Linked DNA regions of Saccharomyces cerevisiae S288C. Changing the gene in region 2 together with the main gene of any one other region gives a genetic interaction. Each region holds a gene or a part of one and is shown on either strand. Other genes may lie near its edges.

What was found. Genes that interact genetically often act in the same process or in processes that back each other up.
Region 1: mutations in YAR066W (region 2) and YIR042C together harm fitness more than expected from each alone (negative genetic interaction), as found in Saccharomyces cerevisiae (one large-scale study listed by BioGRID).

What each region holds. Positions count from the first base shown.
Region 1 is NC_001141.2:434,773-439,170, forward strand, and holds YIR042C (uncharacterized protein), read right to left. Parts: upstream 1,212-4,398; coding exon 501-1,211; downstream 1-500.
Region 2 is NC_001133.9:217,624-223,253, reverse strand, and holds YAR066W (uncharacterized protein), read right to left. Parts: upstream 2,206-5,630; coding exon 1,594-2,205; downstream 1-1,593. Other genes in the region: YAR068W (uncharacterized protein), read right to left, coding at 363-848; YAR064W (uncharacterized protein), read right to left, coding at 2,757-3,056.

The DNA.
Region 1 (4,398 bases), on a different chromosome or scaffold from region 2:
CGTTATGGGTTTAGTGAGGGTTGGTAACGAACCGTAGCGCGGTGTAGTATGCTGTGAATAATTGTACTTTAGCATAGTTAACATTACAATCTTTGTACGTTTATATAACAAATATGATAGAGTATGAGAAAAATTAAATGATACATTTTGAGGTTAAGGTTGAAACTATTATATGGAAGAAAGGTGGAATATAGTTAGGGCCAAAATGACACTATAAATGACATGATGTGAGCCTTAGTAAGGTGAGAGCTACGCTTCCTGGTTTAAATCAAAACCGAGAGCCCAAAATATTATCGGTATCGACGTAACATTTCAATGTCATTCAAGCTTAAAGGAGATCAGCGCAAATGCGTGAAGTCTTAGTCATTGTAAATGCGATTTTTCTTTGTTGAAGGTGAAGTCGGAAAATTCACATGACTGCAAAAAAATCCTAGTCTACAGTATGGTAACCAAAAAATGCTATATATACATATGTCCTGCATGAAAGAGAGGGCGAGTTTTCAGTTTGACAAGCTTTCTCTTATTGCTGCTATTCCTCTCTTTTGTTTGCCATTTTCAAAATTTGTTTTGTCTAACCATTCTTCAAAGGTTTTACGAATGCGTAACCATTCTTTATCGATTATTGAAAACCATTGAGTGTCGCGAGTGCGACCCTTATATACCACCACTTGTCGAAACGTGCCTTCATACTTAAAGCCTAAGCGCATCGCTGCCCTCCTTGACGGCCCATTTAAACTATCACACTTCCACTCATATCTCCTGTATTGAAGATCATCAAATACATACTTCATTAACAGAAATTGAGCTTCAGTTGCAATAATCGTCTTCTGTAATTCTGGTGAAAAAACAACATATCCAACTTCTAGTGAACCGTTGGCTTCATCGATTCTTATTAAGCACAATGTACCAACGGCACGTTCAGTCTCTTTATTAATAATTGCGAAAGGCACAGTATCTTTAGTTTCATTGAGTTCCTTAATGAATTCTAGATATTCCTCCAAGTTAGTGAATGGTCCCGCAGGTAAATACGTCCATAATTTTTGGCCTGCCTCACTATAGGCACTAAAAAGTTCCGAACCATGTCTTTCTCTATCTAGAGGTTCTAGTCTGCAAGTGTTACCTTTCAATACAACTTTCTCTGGGAAGGCCCTTGTTGTCCAACCTTCGACGTCAGCACCAACTTCTTGCCCAAATATATTTAAATTCGCCATAATTGTTTCTACTGAAGGGCATTATTTCCAGGTTCAGAGGCGGGAAAATTCTTGCAAGGCGTCCTCCCATGCTATTTTTATATCATTGTTGATTGTTTATCAACCTCTTATCAACCTCCTATCAACCTTTGAAGAATGGCTCAAAAAAAAAACAACCTTCCATTATGAACCAATAAACAGAGCAAATATCACGTGCACAAAGAACTACGAACTTTTTGACTTTCACACTGGCGATGATCCAAGACGTATTACAGTACAAGAGATCTGCTTTATTGTAAGCCCAGTAAACAGCTTCTTATAGACTCTGCAAATATAGGTACAGAGTTTGCATAATTTTCTAATATACACTTATGCCTTATGATAATCCCAATTTTGAGAAGGAGACAAATTCAGCGAGTGGCGTATAAGTGCGTGCGCTATTGAAACAAATCTCACATAAATGTGTTTATGATCAGCAATAACCTTATCGATGCAACAGAAAATGTGATTCGCGAAATTTGCATCTTTCTTTTCAAAAAATATTTCAAAAACAAATTGCCAAGAGATGATGAAAACAAATCACTCAATTCAAGTTAAATAAGAACTCGTGTATATATAGAAAATATGAGGAAATGTACTCCATTTCAACTGCTTGACTTTAAAATGATGCTGGCTCATGAGAAGCCTCCAAGAAATAATATCGGTGTTACTATTCCAATACTTTCGATCCGCTCTGTGCTAAATAGGCAAACTCAAAAGTAATAAATACATACACATATTACGGAGATTTGTGCCTTTAAGGAATATAAATTATAATTATCTGCTAGTTTACATTTTAATGGCTCCAAACATTTATTTTCTAGAAGTGCTCCTTAATAAACAATAATCTTAAAAGAATAATTATGGAGCGTGTCCGGTTGTAATTAATACTCAGTAATTATATATAATTTGAGAATTATGCTCGTGTGCATTTTCTTCCAATATATTATACTCTGAACCATGTCGTGCTGTGTGCATAAAATTGCTCGATGAAAATCTTAACCCACCTTTTAGGTTGAAAAAAACATGTTCACTTTTTCACTAAAGACTTGTTACCACGGATTGTGCTTCTTTAACGTATGGCCATAGCTCAACGTTCAACGAAGCAAACCACATAGTTTTTTTTAAAGATAAAAGGCGATAGAAAAAGCAGCTAAAAAACCATTCACAGTCAAGTCCATCGTAGAAAAACTCTTCATTATTCCAGACTTTTTTCTCAAACAAATACCTATTCATTTTCTTTGCAATTTCGTCCCATCCATTCGCACCGCTTTCTTGCTCATTTATAATAGTTGACAAGAACTGCATCTTGTGTTCCATTTTAACGGATAAAACAATCATTCCCATATTTTGGAAATCTCTCGTCATGATAAAAAACATTACTACCGGAAACAAGAAACGTGATATAAGGTCAACATTTCCAGACGTGTAGACAATTAAAAAATAATAAAGGAAGACTTGTAAACACCGCAGCTTGAAAATCCTTTTAAGAATCCAGGTAAGCTTAAATCGGTAAGCTTCTTTGGGAAGTTTAGCATCTTCTAGGCCAACAGGGCTCCATGATTTTTCAGTATTAAACAACTTCCATTGTTTTTCAACTTCTGTAAAATAAACTCCCAATGCTTCTTCAATGTAAGAGACGGAATCCTTAAATGACTTAACCTTGGCAGCTTCGTCTTTTTTCAAAGAGAAGGGTTCGAGAAGGGTTGTTCTGAACGCTTCTTGGCAGCCCATGGCATTGAAGAAAAAGTACCTAGTATTCCAAGCCTTATTTTCATATAAGTACGAATTTAGATTTGCTGCAACGATTTCCCAATTATGAGTATCCAAACTTGGTGCGTTTTTAGTAATATCTTTGCAAAACTGAGTGAGTTGTTTCGATAAGGAGCGCTTACGAGAAGGTTCACGAATAACAAGGAGAAATATTGGTCCCAAAACCAGGACAAGAAGTGAAACTATAAATTGGTAAACCCAATTGTTGGAAAGTTTCCATCAGATGCTAAGTGGTAGCCATAATAGCATCCAGATGCGAAACGCTAAAGACTTGTAAATTTCATAACAAAACCAGGTCAATTCGTTTCGGAAAACATCCTGGGGTAAAACAGTCTTTTGGGATTCGAGCTGTTTGAAGGATAACACATCTACGCTTTTCTCATCTTTGACTTCATTCTCTTTCATTTGGTAGTGAGATGGCAGTTCGAGGTTTTTTTATTCAAAGTAATAACTTCTTCCTTTTCGCTTTTATGTAGCAGAAAAAAAAGCCGCCGAAGCGCGCGCGTTCGTGCAATCTCATGATAGAAAAAGGGCAACAATGTTGGGCTATTTTAGACAAAGAAACTCAGCTATTCGAAAAGGGCATCCATTTCATTTCCGGTTTTCTATCTAAGTTACTCGATAGTCGTAATAATACTTTTATAAAACTTTAATGCGGGTACTTTGAGAGCGTGTCATAACTTTGGCTTACGTTTTAAGGTGCGACCGGCAATGTCACTGCTCGCACAGCAGTTGCCGCCTGAAATGAAACACATATTTAAGCGTAGATTGCCTGTGAGAAAACTGTGTAAACATATAGTAGAAAATAGACGTAGCTGTCACAAATATTTACACGGGAAAGAGTCTGGCCTACGAGTATCTTACATGAAGATTCATAGAACCAATTTATTTCCCTATATTGATAACCTTTCGATACCATTTTAATGCCTTCTCCTTATGTTTGTTGTCACTGTAAAACGGATCAAAGCAAAAACTTAGAGGTATGGTGGTACTCAGATCATGCATGACCTCTGGGTAATTACCACTTCTCCCGCTTGTTTTGAGATTCTGTATATAAATATTGCAAACAAAAGGATAGAGCGCAAATGACAGACCTTATAGTATAAATTGTTCGTTTAATCATGCGTCAGTGTGAGATTCCATGACAATAGTATGGGAAGATAGGGCGAAGTGAAAATATCTGTATGACTATAGAGTGCAGTTATATTACAATATATTAAATAGAGCATAGTGGTACGACGATATTAAGGAACTTTTACATTAATGACGTCATGGTAGTGCTCATACTTCAAGTCAAAGTGTTTATTTCGTAAAGTTGAAAGGTAAAATATTTTTATGTTTAGGTGATTTTAGTGGTAATTTTTCTGTAATATTGACATAAGTTTATAAAAATTGA
Region 2 (5,630 bases):
AAATATTATTTATGCATTATTCTTATGTCGGCTAATAGATTCAAAGAAACCCACGAAAAATTTACCGACCGCGCGAAATAAAAGTAAATGAAAAAAAAAAAAAAAAAAAAAAAAAAAAAAAAAAAAGAAGAATGTGTCTATCTTCATAATGGTGCCTTCGCTAAACCATCTTTTCTGACGCTTTATAGTTCGAACACAGCATTCTTCAACCGCGTAAAGTTAAAATCACTTGAATGTTTACACTGACGTTTATATATTAAAATACTTTCTACTTAGTTATTTTTAGGAAAGTACGGTTACGCACTCATTTTAAAAAAAAGCAAGGATGAAAATACCTGCCAAAGTACTTAAAGCATTGGTTCTCAAACCAGCAGCCATACCTTCGGATTGAACGACAATACCAGTGAAGGTGCTGGAAGCAGCAGTATGAGAAGTTGGAGCAGCAGACTTGGTGACTGTGCTAGTGGCCAATGATGTTTGTTTGGAAGCCTCGGAAGTGACAGTCTTGGTGTTACAGCCGTTGTCGTCACAGTGAGTAACGGTAACAGTAGTGTATGATTTTGGAGAAATGGTGGTTGCTGCAGTTTCTTTAGAACATTCAGAAGTGACAGTCTTGGTGTTACAGCCATTGTTGTCACAGTGAGTAACAGTAACAGTGGTGTATGACTTGGAGGAAACGGTTGCAGTTGCGTCGGTAGCAGTTGGTGCTGGAACATGGCATCCGTTTTCGTCACAAGATGTGATGGTGGCAGTGGTAGATGAGCATGGGACAGTTGTGGTAATGGTGTAAATGTTACCGCTAGCGTCGGTTGTTTCTGAACAGGAAACCACGACTGTACTTGTGGCATTCAAGTAAGTTAATGTAGTAGTGTAGACAGAAGCGGAACCTGAGGTGAAGCTGGTGGCGGATGCAGCGGATGCAGTAGAAGTAGTGGAAGCGGTGGAAGCAGTAGAAGCGATTGAACCAGATGCTGTAGTGGAGTTTGAGACACCAGAGATAGAGGCGCTAGATGAAGGAATTATTGAGTCTGGGGCGCTAGAAGAGATCGTAGAAGAGACGGTGGTAGAAGCGTTAGAGGATAAAGTGACTGAACCAGTGGCAGTAGAGACAACACCAGAGGTAGTGGATGCGGATGTGGATGCGGCGCTTGTAGCGATGACACCGTCATAGTTTAGGTAATATGAGTAGGCGCCTGCGAAGATTCCTTCGGAGACACTGAAGCCAGAACTAGAGAATCCAGTACCAATTTCAAAAGAGAATTGTCTGTTACCTTGGGTTGCAGTTAAGACACCAGTAGTACCGTCGTAAGAAAGAGCAGTGATGTCGGCGGTAATGGCAATTTGGTTCTTACCGGTGTAGCCAACAACAGGAATAGGAGTGGCGTTGGTTTCGGTTGGGTCAACGGCAAGAACACCTTCACCCTTGAATACAACAGTTTGGCCAGTAAAGGTGTCAGGGTAGTGCAAGTATAGGTTACCAGAGACGATGTTGATTGTACCGTTTCCAGAAACTGGTTCAACGATAACATAGGTACTTCCATTGTCTAGGTTGATTTCACCGTTATTTACAGAGCCTTCATCGTCGTCTCTACGTTACAAACCGGAAACAGAACCACCGTTGAGAATAGCATTTGACAAAGAAAAGGTACCAGCGTTAGAGTATGGAGAAAAGGTGACTTCACCCTTCTTGGCCTTTGACAAACTCAAAGAAATGTCACCGCTGCTCTTGAACGAGCTAGGTGTGAATGAATAGATAGATGCGGAGACAGCGCCAGTTTCTTCAGCACTGAAGTTACCGGAAACTTCAAAAGTCTCACCAGAAACGTCGAACGCGGTACCTTCGTAGCTTGCTTCAGACTTTTCGACAACCAAATCACCGTGAACTTTTAGATCAGATGAGAAGACGTATTTTTCACCGTCAAGTAAAGTCAACTTACCACCGGCAGCGACTTCCACGGCCTCGGTTGCAATTACTTTACCAGTAACTGTGAGATCACCGCTAATTGTTGTGGATGGCAAATAAACGGTACCGTCACTGGAAGAAAGTGAGTCGGAAGCGGTGGCACTTGCACTAGCTGACGAGACGGAAGTGATAGAACTCAAGTCTGCGGAGGAGGTGCTATTGGTGTAAGAGTCACCGAGAGCGCCGCGAGAGAGTAGGGCCAAAGCGACAGCAGCTTGGAATTTGTTAAAACGATTGAACATCTCTTTTTTTTTTGTAATGGGCGAGAGTTTACCAATAAAAAGAAAGAAATAGTAAAGCTTGCAAAGATGAAAACTTGGACTGCTATTATGAGAACAAGAGTGAATATGACGATCCAGTGACAATGAAGCATATTGAAGTACGATTTACCTGCTTTTTATATACTTCTTCTTGTTACTACTCACGGACTCCTAACCCATAGCTATAGAGCCCGAAGCTACAGAGACCGATGGTGTGCTAGATCAGAATTTTTGTGCATGCATTTCTACGAAGAACATTCTCAAGCCCTGTAAGGCTTGTACGCGCGCGTTTGCCAACAGGGAACGAGGTGCTAATTTGCAGACCAACACATAAGCAATTGGCCAAAACAACAACAACAACAATAACAATAGCAGCAGCAGCAGCAGAACGCGATTCAGCCTGGCCAGATTATTGTAGAAGAGGCACGCGAAAACAAGAGCGGGGAAGGGGCAAGATTGTTTGTTACGTGGGCAGACGCTCAGCTACTTTCTATACAATCCCTACTCTGTGAGGTGCTTATTCAAGCAATGATCTATAACTTTGGCTCAGAACAGATCATACGCCAAAAACAGAAAAGAAAAAGATAGCTATGTCCTAATGGAAGAGACAAGAAATCTTTGCGGCTACCCTCGAGAGAGTTAGTGCACGGTTTCTCCGTAGCCGCGAAATGCTTCTTTTCTGTCCCTGAAGCGCACGGCTGCGTAATCTCACTGCGACGCGGACGGCAATTGTTTTCCCCGGAGACGTGGCTGACAAAAGTCCCTGTGAAAGAAGGCGCTCGCTCTCTTCCGTGGGTCCCTGCTATATAACTACAGCAAAAATCAATCAACATCCTATTCCTGACGAGAATTACTCCGTCTCGTTAAAGAATATCTTTCCAGCGTTTTCTAAGGAAACGCGCAATGTCGCTCGAACTACAAAGACTGAACCTTTGGGTTCCATTATAAATTCTTGAACTTGTTTCATACCCATATATAAGCGGTGCAAAAGACAAAAGGGAAAAACAAAAAAAAAATGAAGAAAAACGGACAAACGGATAACCGGCACCTTCTGTACCACTACATCGCCCGTTTTCGCCAGCATTTCATCAGCACAGATTAGATAGTGTATTCCTACCTCCAACTATCTTATGCTTGGTTTGAATATTTTGGCCCAGTTTCTCAGGTCTTGCTTCCAGGCGCACCCAAAATGTGGTCTTGGTGTGATTGTCGTCACCTTGCCATCCTCTCTCAAATAACGTGGTTCTTGGTAATCTTCTAGACACTTTCCATAGTTTCAAGTCACGTGCGAATTGGCATGTTGCAGAGATTTAGATGGCTATATTTCCTCAAGTTAGCGCATTTGGCTTACTTGATCAGGCGCTTACGAGCTACATTTACGCCTGTCTGTATAATTTTGTTTCTTGACGATGGGATTCTCATAAGAAAGTCCAGATTTGTTCGCAAGGTTAGACACTTTTAGCAGCTAGTGCGTGGTACTTGTAGAATTGCGAACCGGGCATTACAAAACAAGCCCTTTTTTAGCGCTGTCAAGAGCAGAAACTGTAAGTATGCCAGAGTTAGTTGCCGCCCCAATGCTCTTTTCCTGGGCCAATTCGAGAAGTTGAACAGCTTTGGATATTACTGATAAAGAGATGTTTGCCTTGGGGGGCTACTACGGTAATAAGCGTCTTGTCGCTAATGACATGCCAGCAATCACTAAGATTGTTTCGCTCTCAGAAGAACCAGAGGTGGAACTACTGGTTTGAATGACGGATGATTTAGATGATTCAGAGAATATAGAAGTGGAGGTCGTTGCAGAAGAAGAAATGACCGAGGAAGACATGACTGAGGAAGAAACTACAGAAGTTCCATTGCTGCGATAGAATGGAGTAATAATTGGATGCTAAGACGTGATAGAGCTGGTGATTTGTTCTGAAGAAGATGATGACAAACTGGATGAGGTGGCAGTGGTTGGAGCTTTGGCAACAATAACGGTTTCGTCAGTTGGTTGACCATTAGTACCGGTGACGGTGGTCATTTCAGTAGATGTAGAAGTAAAAGTACCAGTCCACAGTTCGGTAGTAGTTGTGACGATGCTAGTAGTATGTTTTGAAGGATCAGGGATAGTACAATTTGACTGACTTAAATCATCGTCAAAAGAGTAAACGTACCCTTCAAAGTCATCACTAACAGTAGTACCATCAGGCAATTCCACGCTAATTGGAAGCGTGCCCCAGGAAACGGCATTGGAGTAAACAACCTTCAGCGGATAATAGTAGCCTGCATACATGTAGACAGTCCCTCCGATGTTATCAGGCAAACTTCCTTGCCATGGCTTAATACCATTGATTGTAAAATCCGTCGATGTAATTGGAGGTTGTTCTTGTGCACAACATTCGAACGCAACGTTACCACCGACTGATAGAATTGCAGAGTCATCGACCTTAGCAAACCTGAACGTGTAAGAACTTGTTTGTGGTGGTAAAAAGTAACCTGTCATTTCTAGAGTAGCGTTTTTTGGGATAGTAAGAAACCAAGTAAATCAGTACTCCAATAGGTCTTTCTTGGCTATTTTGAACATTCACTATGACCTCTGCATCCCCAGTTTCCATAAGCATCTGATTGAGCACATTTAAAAGTTCCTGAAGAGATAACACAAGAAAGATCGTAGTCAATTGAGAAATCCGTCTGTCCGCCAACGGAACCTAATTCCAATTCGAGGCATATCCAGAAGTCATATATTGCGGGTAGGAATACGTTGTTGAATCCAGTAATGAGTATTTATAAAAGTTGACATTCATCCCATTTTTCCTCGGGCCCACTGGCAGGCATGCTTGTGTACTTCCTGAAACAACATTGGACGTGGCCAGGTAGGTGAAGAGTGCCAAAAATAAATAGTGATAAGGCATTTCTTGGTTCGTCAATCAGGTATGGGTATATTAAACAATAACTTTTAGCCATGCTGTTAATGATGAAAATTTTGATGCTGGTCTCTTCATATGTCATTGTTTTGGGAACTGTCTTTTTTCGATCAGATGTATGCGCTACGATTTGTTTAGCGTAGTGATGTTCCTGCGCTGTATTTAGGAAATTTTGGTATCGAAACGTCCCTACAACACTTTTTGTCGCTGATATCTGCACATGCGAGTAACGCCGATTCCATTACATTATTACCTTCCACTTCCCAGAAACGATTTATTACGACTCAACAAGTTCAAGAAAAAAATTAAAAAGGTTACAACCACATTTTGCGTTTAGGTGCAGCGAGGCTTACCTTGATGCAGTCCTAAAGAGTCCTGCAGCAGTTGTAACGAATCCTATTTGCTTTTATGCATTCCTAAACGGGCTGAAGTATAAGTCTTGAGGAACTCCGGGAGAAGATACGATAAGCTCTGAAGTGCCAAATTTTATTATCAAAAAAAATA